Oreochromis niloticus: one gene and its partner. The protein of the gene in region 2 purifies or fractionates together with the protein of the main gene of each other region. This does not show direct contact. Links are inferred from orthologs where the notes say so. Each region holds a gene or a part of one and is shown on either strand. Other genes may lie near its edges.

What was found.
Region 1: the proteins of nfx1 (region 2) and larp1 purify together in Homo sapiens (affinity purification with mass spectrometry, with the first as the bait; 3 studies listed by BioGRID). This does not show direct contact. The link is inferred for Oreochromis niloticus from reciprocal best matches to the Homo sapiens genes NFX1 and LARP1.

Annotation. Positions count from the first base shown.
Region 1 is NC_031975.2:23,570,505-23,579,723, forward strand, and holds the start of larp1 (la-related protein 1), read right to left. Parts: upstream 3,342-9,219; 5' UTR 3,036-3,341; coding exon 2,639-3,035; intron 1-2,638. UniProt on the Homo sapiens protein: RNA-binding protein that regulates the translation of specific target mRNA species downstream of the mTORC1 complex, in function of growth signals and nutrient availability.
Region 2 is NC_031974.2:14,808,897-14,817,111, reverse strand, and holds the start of nfx1 (transcriptional repressor NF-X1), read left to right. Parts: upstream 1-4,539; 5' UTR 4,540-4,779; coding exon 4,780-4,798; intron 4,799-5,912; coding exon 5,913-6,758; intron 6,759-7,374; coding exon 7,375-7,536; intron 7,537-7,981; coding exon 7,982-8,059; intron 8,060-8,215. Other genes in the region: asap1b (arf-GAP with SH3 domain, ANK repeat and PH domain-containing protein 1), read right to left, coding at 1,592-1,717. UniProt on the Homo sapiens protein: Binds to the X-box motif of MHC class II genes and represses their expression. May play an important role in regulating the duration of an inflammatory response by limiting the period in which MHC class II molecules are induced by interferon-gamma.

The DNA of each region.
Region 1 (9,219 bases), on a different chromosome or scaffold from region 2:
AGCTTTTTAAGGTGATGCTGATGCAAAGCCAGACCACCATAAAGGTTTGCCAGGGTTTGGCAAAGTAACATCAGTTCAACAGCTATCAGAGATGGACAAAAAACACCCACAAGTAACCCTGGCTATTCAAAATATCCCACTTACAGCACTCCACTTAAGAGTATGATTCTTCCCACCAACGGCTCTGACTAGCTAAGGAGCAAAAACTTGACCTAATGTTTTGTTTTTTAATCAAAAAATCTACTGTTTTATGTCAGGAATTCATCTGTGTGGTGGATCAAACTGAGCCAAAAGATCTGGAACCACACAACCACAAGGACTTATTTTATCATTTCTTCAATTAATAAAAAATAGCTTATTTGGACCAAACTCAGTCCTTGTGAAACATCTGAGTCTTAACCATCCTAAATGCTTGTTATTAAAACTATTTTGCAGAAGCAAACACTTGTATGTTGACATATTTTATGCTAAACTTTCTCCAAGTTTGTTTTTGTACATATTCCTTGTGTGCTCTCATTCTTCTTGGCTTTTACCTGGGACCTGTGTGCAAAAATTAGTTTCACTTCCTGCAAGTGCACGTGTTGGAATGACAAAAAAACGCAGAAGATTTAAAAGTTCCTCATGGTTGACACATTTCTATATCACTGCCCAACTCTACTTTTTTTCATTAAAACCATGGTTTACCTACATCCCCAAAAACTGAAATCCATTTTCAGGGAACTGCTTACAAGTCATCGGGACAAAAACCTGTGACTAGAACTTCCCAGCTACACTGGTAGTGGCCTTGAATCATAAGTAAACAAGAAAACAAAAAGGGTTTAGAGCCACTGCCTCAAAAAGTCAACCAGCAAACCGGTTTCAATCAGCATAAAGAAGGGGTGGAGGGGGGCAATGCTGCCTGGCAAGCTACAAAGTGGCTCTTCATGTGCTGATGTGACAGATTTAGGAGCAAGAAGCAATCCAATCCACCCTGAGTACAGGCTGAAGTCTACATGAGTTACACACGCTTTCAGCTCTTGTGCAAACAAAGACTCGGACCTGACTGAGAGGCTGCAACACAGCGTGCAGGAAATAACACATGGCTGTGAGACATGAAAACCACGTTGCTTTAACAGGGCAGGGAGCTGTCCCCTACATGTGCATCACCAATATCACTCCACCTGATCGATTATCGACAATCGGTGTGGATTCTGGGGCAACTTCGTGTGAATTGTTACAGACAAAAACATAATAGTAATCCGTTTTCTGGATCACTGATCGATAAGATAAAATGCACGATGAAATCTGCCTGCTAGCTTCCAGGCTAACGACACCTAGCAGGGTGGAGGAGCAGACTAGGTGCCGGGTTTTGCTCTGACAACACATACACGACGTGACAACCGGCTTCTTTACCACGAAAACCCCCGGACCGCCTCAGGCAAGACCGCCACATGCGACATCTGCCCTCTAATGCAGCGAAGTCGCCCAAGCAGACAGCTAGCTAGCTAACAGCTCTCATGCCTTTCTCTAGGGGAACACGTGGAGTGAACACGTGACGTCTCACAACAAACATGCTCGTTTTTAAGGCTTAAACCACCAAATGTTTCAGGTTTGACAAGAATTTTAGCACCGAGGAGGGTTCTTTAAACGACTGAGAGGCTGACGTGTTTTACACGGGCTGATCGGACGCGAGTATTAGCCACATGGGAGCTAGGCTAACATCTGAATGAGAAGGGCCCGGCGAAGGACTAGGCCAAAAAGGGAGTCAGTGTGCTATTGTTAGCCGGCTAAGCTGCTACACAACCGAGCATACTCGTGCCTTTAATGCTAATTGATGTAATGCAAGAGACATGGGCGGATGTCCCGATCAACTGATGCGGTTGATGCTGTGTCGAAACCGGCCCCAAAAGCAAACATGTAAACAGTAGTAAATACTGGTTTAAATATTTGGCAAGCTTGGTGTGTGTCAGCAGAGCAGAGATGTGGCTGTATGCAAGGGTGGGTGTCAGCAGAAGAAGGGGGAGGGAAATCATCAAGACAGGGGAGCTTCTTTCAGTCTTCTCCTCCTAACTTGAAAGTTTAAAGTCTATGCAAGCAAGCATGCACGATGACATTGCTAAAATTAATACGCTCCTCCTCCTAAAAAGCCCCAAGAAAGAGACACCAAAACTCTCTCAAGTAAAAGAAAATGCACGATCTGATGACACACCAGTGATCAACTTCACAACCTTTGCACCACAACACACAGTGCCCATAAACCGTCCACCCAAGTGAAAGGCTATTTGGGGTACCGGATCCCTGAACTGCACCTTTAAATTTCAGAAAAGCTGCAGGCATTTTGGAGCACCTTTACTTTTTTTTGGGAAGGGTGTGATCACTTGTGCAATCAGCCACCCATGTTCCCCCAAGAATAGCCTTCACTATGAGGTGGTGGTGGTGGTGGAGGAGGGAGGGCTTTAACTCCAAATATAACCAGCCTGCAAAATACCACAGTTAGAGCTTGTTCATCAATTCTGTTGCCTCTCTTTTTTCTTTCTTTTTGGTTCAATAAATCACCCCCATGACTCCCCCTGTGAAAGCAGGACGACCACACCTGTGCAGGCAGACACTAAACACAACACTGACAGCCAGTAAATCAACACGTAGGGAGGGTACAGACCGTGGTGTGCTTGTCCATTCACGCTGACCACGGTCACAGCATTCATTTTCCTCGTCCACGGGTTCACCTTGGGCGGGGGAGCTTCAGTAAACTCCTTTTTGTTGCCACCGCCGCCTTTAACTCCCTCCTCGCCTTGCTTGTCTTCGCTGTCACAGTCGCCTTTGCTCTCCTCTGTCGCCCGCTTGGAGGTCTGCTCCTCCGAGCCGGTGGTCCCTCCCTGTCCTGGACTGCTGCTGCCGCCTCCGCCGCTCCCCTGATCGGCGACACCCGTCTGCCGCTTGGCCCCGTCGCCCCGGCCGCTAGGCTCCTCCTTAGGCTCACTGCGGATCACTTTACCGTGCTCCTTCGCTTGAGCAAGCGGGTTGCCGGGTAGGAGAGCCTCCACCTGAGTGGCCATTTCCCACCACCGTCTTTCTTCCCCCTCAGGATTACCAGTCCTCCCCCCCGGCCCGAATTCGCCTTCAATTTCAGGGAAACGTGAAGTTTTTCCGCAGAGTCTGCCGCTTCTGTGTCGCTCCGAGACCAAAAGAGCTTCAGTCCACGACGCGGAGCAGTCAGCGCCGAGTTAGAGCATATAAAAAAACCCAAGAAACGTCTCCGGGGCCTCTCAGGATTACAACCTTATCTCCACCACTAGTAGCAACATGGATGATCCCCACCACGCGATAGAGTGGTGCGCGCACGTACAGTGTGGAGGGGGAGGAGACACGTAAAACGCAGGGAGCGCGCTTTTGGGTCAGGTCGACTTGCTGCTTTCAAGCGCTTCCTCGTCATAAAACCTCTTAATTTCCAATTTGGGAAGTCGTAAAGTGGCTCTTCGTCGGGCGCATTCAAGTGCGATCAGTAACGAAACGTATCACTGAGTCACGCTGTGTGTTTTGGACGAAATTAGCTGTTGAAACCAAGGAGTCACACCAAAGACAAAGACATTTTTATAAATGAAAAAATAATTAATCATTTTAATGCATATTTTTTTATTCCGCAGTGAAACTGGAATAAAAGTAAAAGACAGCATTTAGATATATTAATGACGTTCACATAATAATTGATTTAACCCAGCTGTCCCAAATTTTGCCGTTGGGGTGTGACTAAGCATGTAAGCCCAGCATGGATGAAGTTAAATTATAGGAATGACCGGCTGTAGGTCAGTTTTTATGGTAGGCCACGAGTTCAATAAATAAGTCATTAAATAAACCAATGAATTAAATATAAAATAATTTCATTTAAAACCTTTAATGTATTTATTTCCCATTTTAATTACATATGGATAGATTAAACATAGTACAGTCTACATTGCACAACAATAAACAGCAAAGACACGTGTATTTATTTAAGAATGTATTTATTTATTCATTTTGGTATTCGTGCACCTTCATAAGTTTTATTGCAACTATTTTAACAGTGATTGATTGGATCAGAGCTTTCTTTGTCTTGAGGAGGAGTTGAGCCAATCAAATGCTCCAAAAGGGTTTCCTATCATTACTTATCACCCTCAATCACATGCTACATAAAAAAGCTAGTTAAACACCTGTAATGCTTAAACTGTATTTAACTAAGCAAAGAAAACGTAAAGGAAAAATACAATAACTTAAAATAGCATTGCCTGTCCCACAGATAATACTATCAGTGTGAAATGTGTTTATGTTACTCTTATTGATTTTATACAATTTTATTTGTAAGAGACTATCACAACAATGTTGGATAAAATGTGTTTGGACTTTAGGAGGAAACCCAAGCACCTGTAAAGGTGAGAAATTAATTTTCCCAAGAGGCCACATGCCAGCCTGGGACTGTTGTGCAGGGCTGGACCAATGAGCTTATAAAGAGATTAAATAAACTTGTCGGGCCTTACGCAGTTTCTCATGTGGTCCCTCGGAAATATGAAGTGCCCACCCCCTGATCCTGGAGGAAACGTGCAATTATAACCGCTATCACCATCTATTAATACTTATACCCTAGTCTACATCCACGTCAGATTTTTCCGATAGACGTAAACGCACCGCGGATCTTTTGATGACGTCTGGCACGCTCTTTAGACGTGTCACCGTTTCATCACCTTTACCTCATTGACTAGCTGACCAAAACACAAGCTTATTGTTGTAACAAGTAGTTTACAAATACGTTCGTGGGTACCACGTGGAATTTGTCCTTTTATACGCTTGTATAGATTTTTTTTCTTTTTTTAATTTGAAAAAAAGGAAAAGAAAGAAAAGGAGAAAAAAAGGTGGGCATGCAATCCCCCCTCTCAGAGTTCACACACTATACACACACGTGTGCATACCGGAGCTGCACGTGTGTGCTCCCTCCTGATTTCCAGAAAAAAGAAGAAGCTCTTCCTCTGAAGTTTTCTACTTTTACCGAAACACATAGATAGATTGACCTTCCCTGTCCCTGTTGAGTATGCGTCTGCAGTTCTACGTGTGTTTGTGTTGTGTCTTTAGCGACATTACGCGTCGCTCAGCATTATAGACCTTTTTTAAGCTGGTCTGGTTGATTATATAATGTGCTACTTTATGGGAAAGAGGGGACGCGCCTGTGCGTTTGGAGAAAGAAAATGATGACTTGCGTGAACGCAGAGGGAAAATGTGGCTGCGCATCAGCCAGCTGTTCCTCTACAGTCACCACTGCTCACCGCTATATAGACAGAAGAAGTCATGCAGAAAGGCAAATATTCACTTTACTGAATGCCCCAAGATTAGATTAGAGTCAGAGGCTCTGAGGTATTTCATTAAGAAAAATAGCAACATAAAAATCTTTCATTCACACTCTATAGTAAAACGTTATCTGTGCAATATACAGTATATGAATATACTAATATAATATATAAGTACAAAAAGCAGGCATAAAAGTACTTTTAGGGTGTTTTTGGACTGTAGAAATACTGTATTAATATAAAAAATCTGGATCAACCCCTGTTTCCACAATAGGACATAGTGAAAGTTGATTTACTCTAAAACACTTCAAGTGAATATAATTTTATTTATGTAGTTGTGAATCATAACAGTGGTTGCTTCAGAGAACTTTATATTGTAAGGTAAAATCCCTGCAATAACAGAGAAAACCCCCAACACTCAGAAGACCCCCTACGAGCAACAGCGGAAAGGGAAAACTCCTTTTTAACAGGAAGTAACCTCCAGAAGAACTAGAACATTGCATAATACATAAGTTAATGGATGTAAATATAGTATCTATTCATATTTTTTACAGCTAAAATGTTTAATGTACAGGACTGAATAATACAATATTTCCTTTTCAAATGTACTCCCTGGTGCGGTGAAGTAGCAGAAAACTAACCTAATATGATACATATAATATAAAAGTCATACAGTGCAAAATACAATGTAAATTATAAATTCTGTACACTGTAAAATAAACCTAAAAAAGTACAGTACTGTGCAAAATCCTTGAGCCACAACTCGTGTCTTTATATTCTGCTTTTAAGGAGCAAGACTTTCTTGTAATCTTTTTAAATTGGCCTTGAGCAATAGTTCTATAGGCTCTCTGAAGGCCAGTTTTTCTTTGGACATTCGCTGTTTTTCAGCCCACTCCTTACACCTGACTATTTTCAGATGAATGTTTTTGTCTTAAGCCACTAAAGACTGACCTATGAATCATTCGAGCACAAAAAAGGCACCTAACTCAAGGAAAACCAGTGTTGTATCTACACAACAGGCAACTTAACAAAGAAACAATTTTACATTGTTTTTTTACACACTTTGTTACCAGCAGCTTGCCACAAAAACATCATGAACAATGCCAAATAAAACACAGTTTGGCAGGCATAAAATAGTATTTTTGTCAAGCAACAAGTTGATTCCCAAAGAGCTCTTAGCTCAAAAGTTCACATATGGTAAATAAATGGTAACTGGCCTATATTTGTATAGCGCTTTACTAGTCCCTAAGGACCCCAAAGCGCTTTACACAACTAGTCATCCACCCATTCGCACACACATTCACACACTGGTGATGGCAAGCTACACTGTAGCCACAGCCACCCTGGGGTGCACTGACAGAGGCGACGCACTGACATATCTGTGTTGGGTGTGCACAGTGTGCTTAAAAAAATTGAGGAAACTGGAAAAGTGGAGGAAAAAAGAAGAGATGGTAAGCCCACTTTCCAAATATATATTGCAATCACCAGCTCTAGCAAAACACCAAGTTCACCAGATTCACAAAGTGTTTAAAAATAAAACATACGTTATGTGTTACAAAGCATTTATAAAAAGTTTTGACACATGATCCCAGGAGCTTTAGCTGTTGCACACGGCCGGCAGGATTCCTGGAGTGTTTTCTGAGTAAAGCCAGAACTATGCCGTCAGCCAGCACTGATCATGGCATGCACATACTTCCTCTTACCCTACTGTTAATGGTTGCATTATTATGAAGGGCGTAGCATCGGTTACTATATTTGAATGATGGGTGTGTGCAAGAGAAAACAGTTCTGTGACAAGAGAAAGTAATGAGAGAAAAAAAGTTTGGTTTGATTTAAATTACACCAACCATATAAATGAATTCACACCCATCACATTCCTGCACGCACATTCTCCAGCACTTCCTTAAAACGGGTGGTCCCGACTACTGAGATCAATAAAAACTGACAGCAGGTCTCTTTAAAGCTAGCACAACCAATTCTGCAGCATTCATATAGCCATAAATAGTATGCTATATTTAAACCGACCCAGTAGCATAGTGACCTCACTGCAAAGAAACCAACTACAGGTTCATTTTTAACATCAGAATATCTCCCACATTCTCTATTAGGGATGAATTTTCATCTTAGCTGCCATCATTATTGTGTTTTTTTCAGTCAGTGCTTCACCACAGGGAATGCTTTAAAGTTAAAAATAAAAATAAATGCTTAGTGGAAGAGTATTAGTTAGTAGTTGGTACACCAGTAACAATTTGTGATACCAAAACTGTGAAACCTCAGACACCAGCTTATGTAGACCTAAATCTCCCACGTGAATGGGGATATGGTAGACAAAACTGGACCAGCTGCTTTTCTCGAGCTGTTATCCACATTATAATCATGCAACTGTCATAAAAGTCAGTCCTCCTGCTTTAGTCCTGCCAGAACACAATGTGTTTAAAAAGTGTGTTCAGGTATGTTAATTAATAAAATACTTTCTTTTTTCATAGAGTTGAATATGAACGTTTCCAGCAATACATTTTATAATAAACAACATTAAAGGTACAGTGTGCAAAAATCTCACCACTAGATGTCTCTAGATTGCAACTTGCAGTCAATTGAATTCTGTTTTCTTAACCCTTCCAATTAAAGTGCAGAATCCTGGGTAAGGTGGCCGCCGTTCTTCTGTAGTGAGTGTGGGCTGTCAGGCCACTCTTAACCTCAGCTGTCAATACGTGTCCACATCTATTTGCTATGCAGGAGGTTGTAAAACTATTAAGTGTTGATGAGCCAGGGACGCTCACTTCTGTCTGATGACAGCAATACTGAAATGAGTTGTCGAGGATATCCTGAAGTTTCCTGCCAGTAAGCGTCACTGTCTTTGCTGCTGTTAGCCAGCGTTTGTGAAACTATCTTTGAAGTGGATTTAACATTTAACAAAAGGGAGTTTTTTCCCTCCCACTGTCTCTGTCTCCAAAGTGCTTACTTATAGGGGGTCGTATGATTGTTGGGTTTTTATCTGTATGTATTATTGTTGGGTCTACTTTATAAAGCGCTTTGAGACGACTGTTGTTGTGATTTGGCGCTGTATAAATAAATCGGATTGAAATTGAATTCAATTGTTTCATATGAGAGGGAATAAACCCTAATGCAATATGAAAATGTAATCAAACTGTTCATCAGAGCGAAAATTAGATTTTTCGGTCACTCAGGTCTAACATTAACATAATGTTAGCTGATAACTAGCTGTGTTGATGTTTAGCCAGTTTGTTGTCAGCTGTGCGCAGAAGGGATGGCCACATGTCTAATCTGCTGTCAATAAGTAATTGTAACAATACTGAGAATAAATAAGCATGTTTTGTGCAAGTTTGTGTGTGTCACAGCCCTGACTTCAGTTTAGGAGACGAGGAATGAGGTGAGGAGAGAAAGATGCCGGTAGTTACTTCTCTTTCCTTCGAGTCTTTGCTTCTTTGGTGATCCTGGACATCTTCAGTCTGAAGGTGCAGACATAAATGAATCAGTTTGTTTGAAGATATAATTACACACTAATCAGTGTGTAATTATAATTACACATAATTACACACTAATTAGTGTGTAATTATGAGTACATTTTTCCCCATTAAATAAACTTTTTTAAAAAAAACCCTGAGTGTACCTTTAAAATACGACATGCCCGGACAGTTACAAACACACACACACACACACACACACACACACACACACACACACACACACACAAAGTCTTGTGTTTGAATAAATGCCCTTGGTTGTCTTACAAGGACAGTATGCATGACTGCATACAACTTGATCATATTGTGGATACTACTAACAACCACAAAACTGTGACATCAACCATAAATTCAGAGGTTTGTTTGTTTTAGGTCATTTAGATATCAACAAAAGTCAAAATATTTAGCAAAAACAAAAAGTGAACTCCAACAGAATTATATAT
Region 2 (8,215 bases):
TTTGAATTGAGGACAATAGCTCCAGAGCATTTTAAACAAACTCCTCTTCAGGCACAGTGAAGCTGAAGGCGGTTTTCTGTGCATGATGCAAGTGAGTCCCTGCAAGACTCTGCAGGGATCAAACAGGGTTGCTAATTCAATAAAACAGACATGAATCTAGAAGTATTCGGGGCTTTATGCTGGCTGTCTGCTCCCTGTGTCTGCCACAGCCTGATGGGTGTATCCCAATCTGAGTGACCCGCCAGGCTCGTTTTCTCTGCCAGGAATGTTTCAGGCGCATCTCGCCATTGTTTAAAACACTGAAAAGCATGTCGCTCGCTCTTTGGTGCCAGTGTAACGGTTCTTCCTCTGTCATGTGATCTCACTGCAAAAGAAAAAAAAAATTCCAGAGCGGCTACTGAAGCCCAGCGCACATGGCGGCCCTCTCTAACAGATGTTTTTCGTTTGTGCTGCTGCAGTCTCTCGGTTCAGAGGCACAGAGCCAGAGAGGTGATTCATGATGCGAGCCTTTTTCTTGTTACAGTCAGCAGACTGAGAGACGGCTCCAGGTTGAGAATAAACACGAGCCCGGCTCTGTTTTGGTAGATTTCCTATTGTTACGATATGATAAAGCTGTAGAAGAAGACATGACAGATGGCACAGATTGTGTGCTTTAATATGTGATTTTGTATATTGGAGCAAGCGGACTGGGCCTGTGCTTTCTCCTCCACACTCACCATCCAGCTCATTTTCATCCTAAATGGAAAGCTGGTATCACACTGAACGCTCCTGCAAGCCTGGAGTCATTCACGTCTGCAGCTAAATGTGCTTCAAAGCGGGAAATGAGGTCACATTTTGGCATTAATGGACGGCGGTGAAGGTGTGCGCTCCCCTGGTTTGATGCTCCATTTAATCATGGCAGGAAGAAGGGAGGCAAACACTTCACAGCTCACCTGCCTGACCTGATTACACCTCTTCCTGCATGATCAGAGGTGACACAGCATCACAGAGTGTGACTTTGGGTGTGTTTCCCCAGCAAACGTTTTCTGCTTTTTTTTTTTTTTTTTTTTGAGATACAAATCAGTGTGTTGTGACAGCAAGGAATGAGGAATAACACAGAATCCAGATCTGAATACTAGGAAAAGGGTTTTCTCTGCTACAGCCTGGCGGCATGCTCTAAAGCCTTGAGTTATGTAATAGTGAACACAGTGAGCTGCAGGCCTGAATGCACATCTTTCTATTCCAGCAAAGCCATCCACCCCGTCTATTCTTACTCTTCATATCAGGCGAGATAACACACTATTTTGCATCAGGTCTTAGGCTGAAATAGGTGCACTTTAGGGGCAACAGGTGCAATTATTTTCCCCTTTCCTCTGCGCATATTAATGCATCTGGAGGTCTGAGGGGATTTTCAAAGCTTTCAAACATTATCGCCGGAATTTAAGGTGGATTGCATGCACCCTTGGCTCTATAAAAAATGCATCCTCGTTCAGAGATGGTGCATTTCCCCTCATTAGTATCATTCTTTATTAAATAATAACAACAATAATAATACAGTCTGTGTGGCTGTAATTATCCATCCATCCTCAGCAGGCTCACACCGTGGCCTTACCTCCTCCAGCACATTCACTGTATTCCTGCAGCTCTGCATTCGGGTGGTGAAGCTGGATGTTGTCGGGGAATTGTAATCCTCTGTTGTCTCCGAGAGAAACTCGGACACCGATATTTGATCCGGCATCCTTTAACTGTGAGGGGGTAAATGCCCACAGGAGGGTTGGCGATGAATGCTCAGAAAGACAAAACCATGTAAGATTTAAAATTAGATAGAAAGCACGATGGGGGGACTGTACGGCCGATGGAAAGGCTAAGCCGATTTTTTCCCCCTGCAAAACTGCGTTAAACTATCGAGATGATTAAGACGTGCCTTCTTCTCCTGTGACTTCTCAAATGACTTCACTGTTCCCCAAGGGCCCACGGCAGGAGGGAATTTACCAAATATCTGCAGGCTGGGTCCCCCTCTCGGTGTGTATTTTCCGCGAGAAGATGTCTAAAAGCGACACATTTATAAATAGTGTCACTCTGCGTCTAACTAAACCACGGAGGGAAAAGCGGCGTAAAGAATAGCGGATGCCCTCATTATGCTCTACAGATGTGCAAAAAGCCGCTTGTCGTCAAAACCGCGCGACGTTACCAGGCTCGGTTTAAATTTTCTCATAGTCCACGGTCTGCCGAGGTTGTCTGGTACTTTGGTCCCGTTTTCTTCTGTCGTAGTTTAACGTTTTTTAAAAAGCTAAACGCTGCCGCAGACACATTCACTGCCACTCTCTCCTGCGCTCGGAGCTGCTCAGAAGCGACGTCAAGCTAGCGCTGAGACAAAGCGCAACTTCTGGGCAGTAATTTCAATATAAAACACCAGCTAACGCTTTTACATTACGTAAATGCATTTTTAATGAATGGAAAAGACTATATATAAAAGGCGGTAAGCTTAAAATGTCTAAATATGTGTTTAAGAGAAAGATATGCACAAAAATAACATTTATCATCCATTTTTGTTCAGATTGTTGTCAGTAGAGCTGACGATAGCTTGATTTTTCTATCGTGAATTTTCAGTGTACTAATATAAAACGTATCATAGCGGCTAGTAAGCATTTATAAGGGGAAAATGTGTTCGTGTCACATGATTTTTATAGTTTTATTTTGAAATTACATTCCAAAATATCCGTTTTTTATGTCCATAAACTGAATGGTTTACAAATAGCTCTCCCGCCCACCTCGCCTGGTTGACTAGGACGGAGGGCTGCTGTACGCATGCGTGATCTGGACTCAGTAACTGCAGAATGGTCCGTCGGTGTAGCTGTAGGCCTGAAAGGGAAAAGAAATATGTCCACAAAAACACGAGTAATTTTTATTTTATGGGATGTTTTTATTCTTGGGTAATATTTTGAAGACTAGAAACCCATCTAAGCACTGTAGGTCACTTAGCTGCCATCAAAGGCAGAAAAATCGCCAGTTGACTTGATGTCCTTTGGGTTTCCAGCGCAGTATTTTCCAGCTGAATTTTAGGATTTGCTCAGTAGCAGCTTTTTAAGTTCACTTACGATTTAGTACCAGCAAATATGTCATTGCATTATTTCCCTAATGCTAGTATTGCTTGTTAACTGTCACCTGGGGAAAATGACTAGTGTTACAATTGTTTTTTTCAGGGAAATATGTGTCATTTTGAAGGTCATCAGTTTGAATATAAAGGTAGGACTAATGTAATAGAGCCTGGTAGACATTTTGCTCTTATTTATATCTGCATAATTCGTGAGGCAGTGACACTGATTCCCAGCCATCCCAGGATGACTAAATATCCTGTTTAGTCATCTGGGGTTCTGGTCCAGAGGACTGCACTGGATACAAAACACATCTGCAAATTAGTCCTCTATCACTTTTCAGGTCATAATGAAAAGGGCAAAGTATAGTCTATTAACTCCATCTAGTTTTTAGTTACTAATATTGACTTTCACTTCCTTTTCAAAACTGCATAAATGTACTCCATGAAAGTACCTCAACACAGGGCATATTAAAGCATAAGCAGAAGTACAGATTACATTGATATTGTTTTTTTCCCCAAAGTTTCAGTCGGGAAAGCCCTCCTTAGTCTCTGGTGTACAAACCCAAACACGAAGCGCCACCTTGTGGGCATGATTTTGAGTTTTTTGTTTATATTGGATGGATGTGCTTTATTTATGAATCATTAAGGTTAGATGGCCTATATATATATTATTTAAAATTAAAGCAAATTAAGATAGACAATTTTTATAGTCACAGATCAAAAGGAAAGAACACATAGTGTTCATATGTGCAAAATGGGAATAATTCATATATTGAATCAAACATTTATACAATGAATAAATAAATGTCTCAATATTTACTACGTAATTGAAAACTAATGAACACCTCTGTATACCAAAGTATTCTAGAGTCAAATGTGAGCCCAACTGTCCGAAAGCTAAAACTTCATGACAGTTATCTCAAGAACAACAGCAAATCCCTGACAGAATGTCTGAAAAAGAAAAGAATCAAGGTGTTGCAACCCAGCTGAAGTACATCTTCAGAGAGTAGTGCATAAACGACTTCCTGCAAACTTCAATGAACAAATCTTGTAAAGAGGAGTGGGCACAATCCCTCCATAGAGATGAGAAAGACTGATGAAATCATACAGAAAACAAAAACTTCCATTTGCAGCCACAAAGGTGGGTGTACTTAGCTTTTGCCCCACTGTTTCTTCATTTTGTTTTTTTGTGTAACTGTGACACGATGTAATGTGTGTAGTATGTCATGTCTTACTGTTCATCTGAGGTTGTACTAAAAAGTGTTATTTTTATTATGTCATAATGTGTAAAGCCTTAGAACTGAAAGACTTTATTTCTTATGTATTTTTACCACGACTGTCTTATTTTTTACTTTGGAGTAATTCCCTCCGTTTATTTCTTGCTGTGTGTTCCATGCAGTAGTAATATCAATTTTGAAAACGTTTTATTTTGGTTTTATTTTATAAACGCTGACCGGAAGTTCCGTTTATGACATCTGCGCTAACCGTTAGCTAACTAGCTAGCTTATATTAATAAGGTGCGAGGCAGGCAAGGGAAGATTACCGTCGCTTTTAAGGGGTTTCGGATCATTTTTAAGAACCGGAAGACAGGAAACAGGGTGGATACGGTCGCGGAGGGCGTGGACACGCGTGTCATTTCTCTTAAAGCTGCACTTTGTCGTTATACGTGCTGCGGAACAAGCAACAAGGAGTGCTCAGACTGAATGGCCGAGGGCTTCTCAGGTAACTAATGTGCAGTTTTAATAACAGTGAGTCACAGGAACCCGAGGCAGCCTAAACCGACTCTTAAATCATTCTGAAATACTGACTTTAGCAGCTTCGCTAACAGTTACACACTCTCTTGCTAGTTGTGTTAGCTGGACAACCTTAAGCAGCCTAAACATAAACTTTTAGCTGACGCAGTTTTCTGTTCACTTGCTCTGGGTTGCTAATGTTAGCCTAGCATCTCTGAGTGATCGTGCAGTTCGTGGATGAGGTAACGACGCGTGACAGCCGAGGAACTTTGAAAGGCAACAGCACGCCAGATGATGGTACGCGTTGTTATCCATAAAATCGAGAGCTGTCATGCTCATTTTAGACTCCATATTTTCATTACTTGTACATATACTGACCTTAAGATTTTAAATTGCACATAAGAACAGATCATCCCCATATAGTTAAGGCATAGAGTCTGTGTTGCTCTACTCAGCAGAACTTTTCCAGCTTGTTTTTGGCCATTTGATATACCGAAATGTATATTAGGGCTTCGTGAACAAAACTGTATTGCAAACCACAAAGTCAAGTCATCTTTATTTATATAGCACATTTAAAAGACATCAAGTGTCGGCCAAAGTGCTGAACAGAGGGATAATACAATAAAAACAATTAAATAGATAAAATGAAAACATTATAGAAACAATGTAAGACATCCATATACGTTTGTAAAAAGTATATGTGTACATGCAAATATGCAAATACATATACAAAAATGTACACATTCACACACAAGCACGCATACGTGAACATAAAATACATGTATATGTGTATACACATGCAAACATCATCCACAAAAAGTGGTCATGATGATTTTACACCTGCGGGTGCAAACATTTTTTTCATATGCAGGAAAAAAAATCTGTCTATAACAACATTTGCTCATGGCAAAATGTTATTGCACTCTTTATTTGTCATATGCAATTTAAAATGTCATCTCATAAGTAAATAGGTCACAACGATCCCCGAAATCCTTGCAAAATGACAATAAATGATGTTGTCCTGCCTAGTTTAAAGTCTTAAGTGTTTTCGCTCTAAATATATTTGATGTTGCTCATAACTTGGTTCTGTTTTCTTGTTGCAGACCCACCTGACCTCAATCCAGATGGGACGCAACATCAAACGTCACATCAGCACAAACCCAGAAGAGGCCGACCCAGACACAACAATGACAGACACCTGAGTAACAACAGTAATGAGACCTGTCATCAGTCTGGACACTTTAGTCAGGGGACTAATCCCCCTTTTAGCCATAAATCAAATTATGAAGACCATCATCGTCCTTCTTACCAAGGAGGAGATGAAGGCAGAAGGCGTGGTAGAGGAAGAGGATGGAGAGAAGGGAACAGAGGAGGTTCTGTGCCATGGCGGCAAAGACCTGGAGGTGACCCATACGGTGGCAGCAACAGATACATGAGTGGCGTCCATGCTTTTGCACATCCCATGGGTGGTGCTGATGGACCCAACTGGCGGCGAGGAAGTGCAAACAGGGATACAGAACAAACTAATGAGGACCAGGATGCCCAGGCTAAAAAACCAAGGAAGTTTAGTCAGGAGCAGCGAAAGGGAGAACAGAATGGCAGTTTGAAGGAGAACAACACCACAGTGGAGGATCAGCGGAAGAGAGAAGACTCAGAGTGCCAACATGACAATAATCAGAGGAAACACACTGACCCAAAGCGACGGCAAGGACCAATCAAACCACCCAAACAACCATCTCAAGAGGAGCCAGGCTCAGAGAAGGGAGCCAGTGGCCAAGATGACTCTGATCAGGGGCGAGCATCTCAGGATCCTGCAGGCAAAGGTGGAAGAGGCTCAGGGAGGAATGCTCCCCTTCAGGCCAGAGGTGGGAGAAGAACAAACTATCAAAACTACAAACCTGGTCAGAGGAGCTGGAACAAGGTGCCAAAGAGCAAAGAGACGCAGACAGGTTCGACTCTTACTTCTCTAAGATATTGTATGGCGATCAAATTCCCCAACTTATTTTAAATTTCTATCAATGTTTTACATTTTTATATTGTTACAGTTTTGTTAGACACAAAATGTTTAATTAGAATTTATTGATTTTTTTTTTTTTTTTTTTTTTTTTTTAGGAAACCTGGTTTCCTAACAAACTAACATAAGTTGGTTCAAATTTCCCCATATTTTGCTGTTAAGTATTTCATATTCACTATATTTGCAAAAAACGGTCCTTTTTGGTTGTTTTTGGGGGACTTTTTTGTCCCTTTTTAGTAGCTCTAGTTCAGTTAGTTTTAATATTGGCCCTGTAACCAATGTTTAATGTTATGTTTTATTGATTATTTTGTCTTTAAAAAGGGCGGGAAATAATTAAAAATGCAAATCAAGGTCCAAAAACCCAAGCCCATGTTTTAGAGTGCTTACTTAGTGTAAAAGTCTTATGATGTTTGGTTGGAAGCAACCTGAATTATTGATGAGTCTGTCAGTGAACTAAACGACATACGAGCGGAAAGTTTTGGATAAAGGTCTGTGGGTGGAAACGAAGTATTTGTTGCAGTCTTCTGAACCTCTGATCTCTTCCTCCGCAGGGTGTCTGATTGAACAGCTGTCGGAGGAGAAATACGAGTGCATGGTGTGCTGTGATGTGATCCGGGTCATGGCGCCGGTGTGGAGCTGTCAGAGCTGCTTCCACGTCTTCCACCTCAACTGCATCAAGAAATGGGCTCGATCGCCAGCCTCGCAGGCAGACGGTGCGGCGTGTGAACACAGTGTTTACTCTGTGTGTGAGCATTTTAGTGCAGTCTGTGTACTCAGCATAACGAGCTCCTAACAGTGGCTGGTACTCAGTGTTCAGGGATGGTCACTGTGACAGTAACTCGTGCAGTGAAATTCCTGCTGCTTCTGCAGTGCTTTGTGTTGCATTGAAAACCGAGAGGTCAAGTGGATTTCTGTTATTGTTCCCATTATGAATCTGCGCTATACAATACGACACGTCACCTTCTGTCCTTCATCATAGGAAAAAAATACAGAAAAAATGTTTTAAGCTACATTTAAGGCTAAGTGGTTTTTACTTCAGTGCCACAGATGACTGTACTGGGAAAGCACATCCTTCCCAGAGGGTGAACCTTTCATTCAGCGTTATGCAGAAAGAAAAAATGGATGCATGTATTTTTAAGTTCAGCTTTTTTGTAACAGATTCAGCTGAAGGTTGGCGTTGTCCAGCCTGCCAGAATGTTTCAATGAAACACCCGACCTCCTACACCTGCTTCTGTGGTGAGTATTTGTTTAATTCAAGCATAGATGTACATCACTGCTGAGAAATGGTGATGAACTTGCTCTCAGGTTAGACGATTTAATGAAATTGTTATCATATACTACTGACTCCTTCCAAAAGCTTTGTTACGTTAAGTTTGCTACAGAGAGTGATGG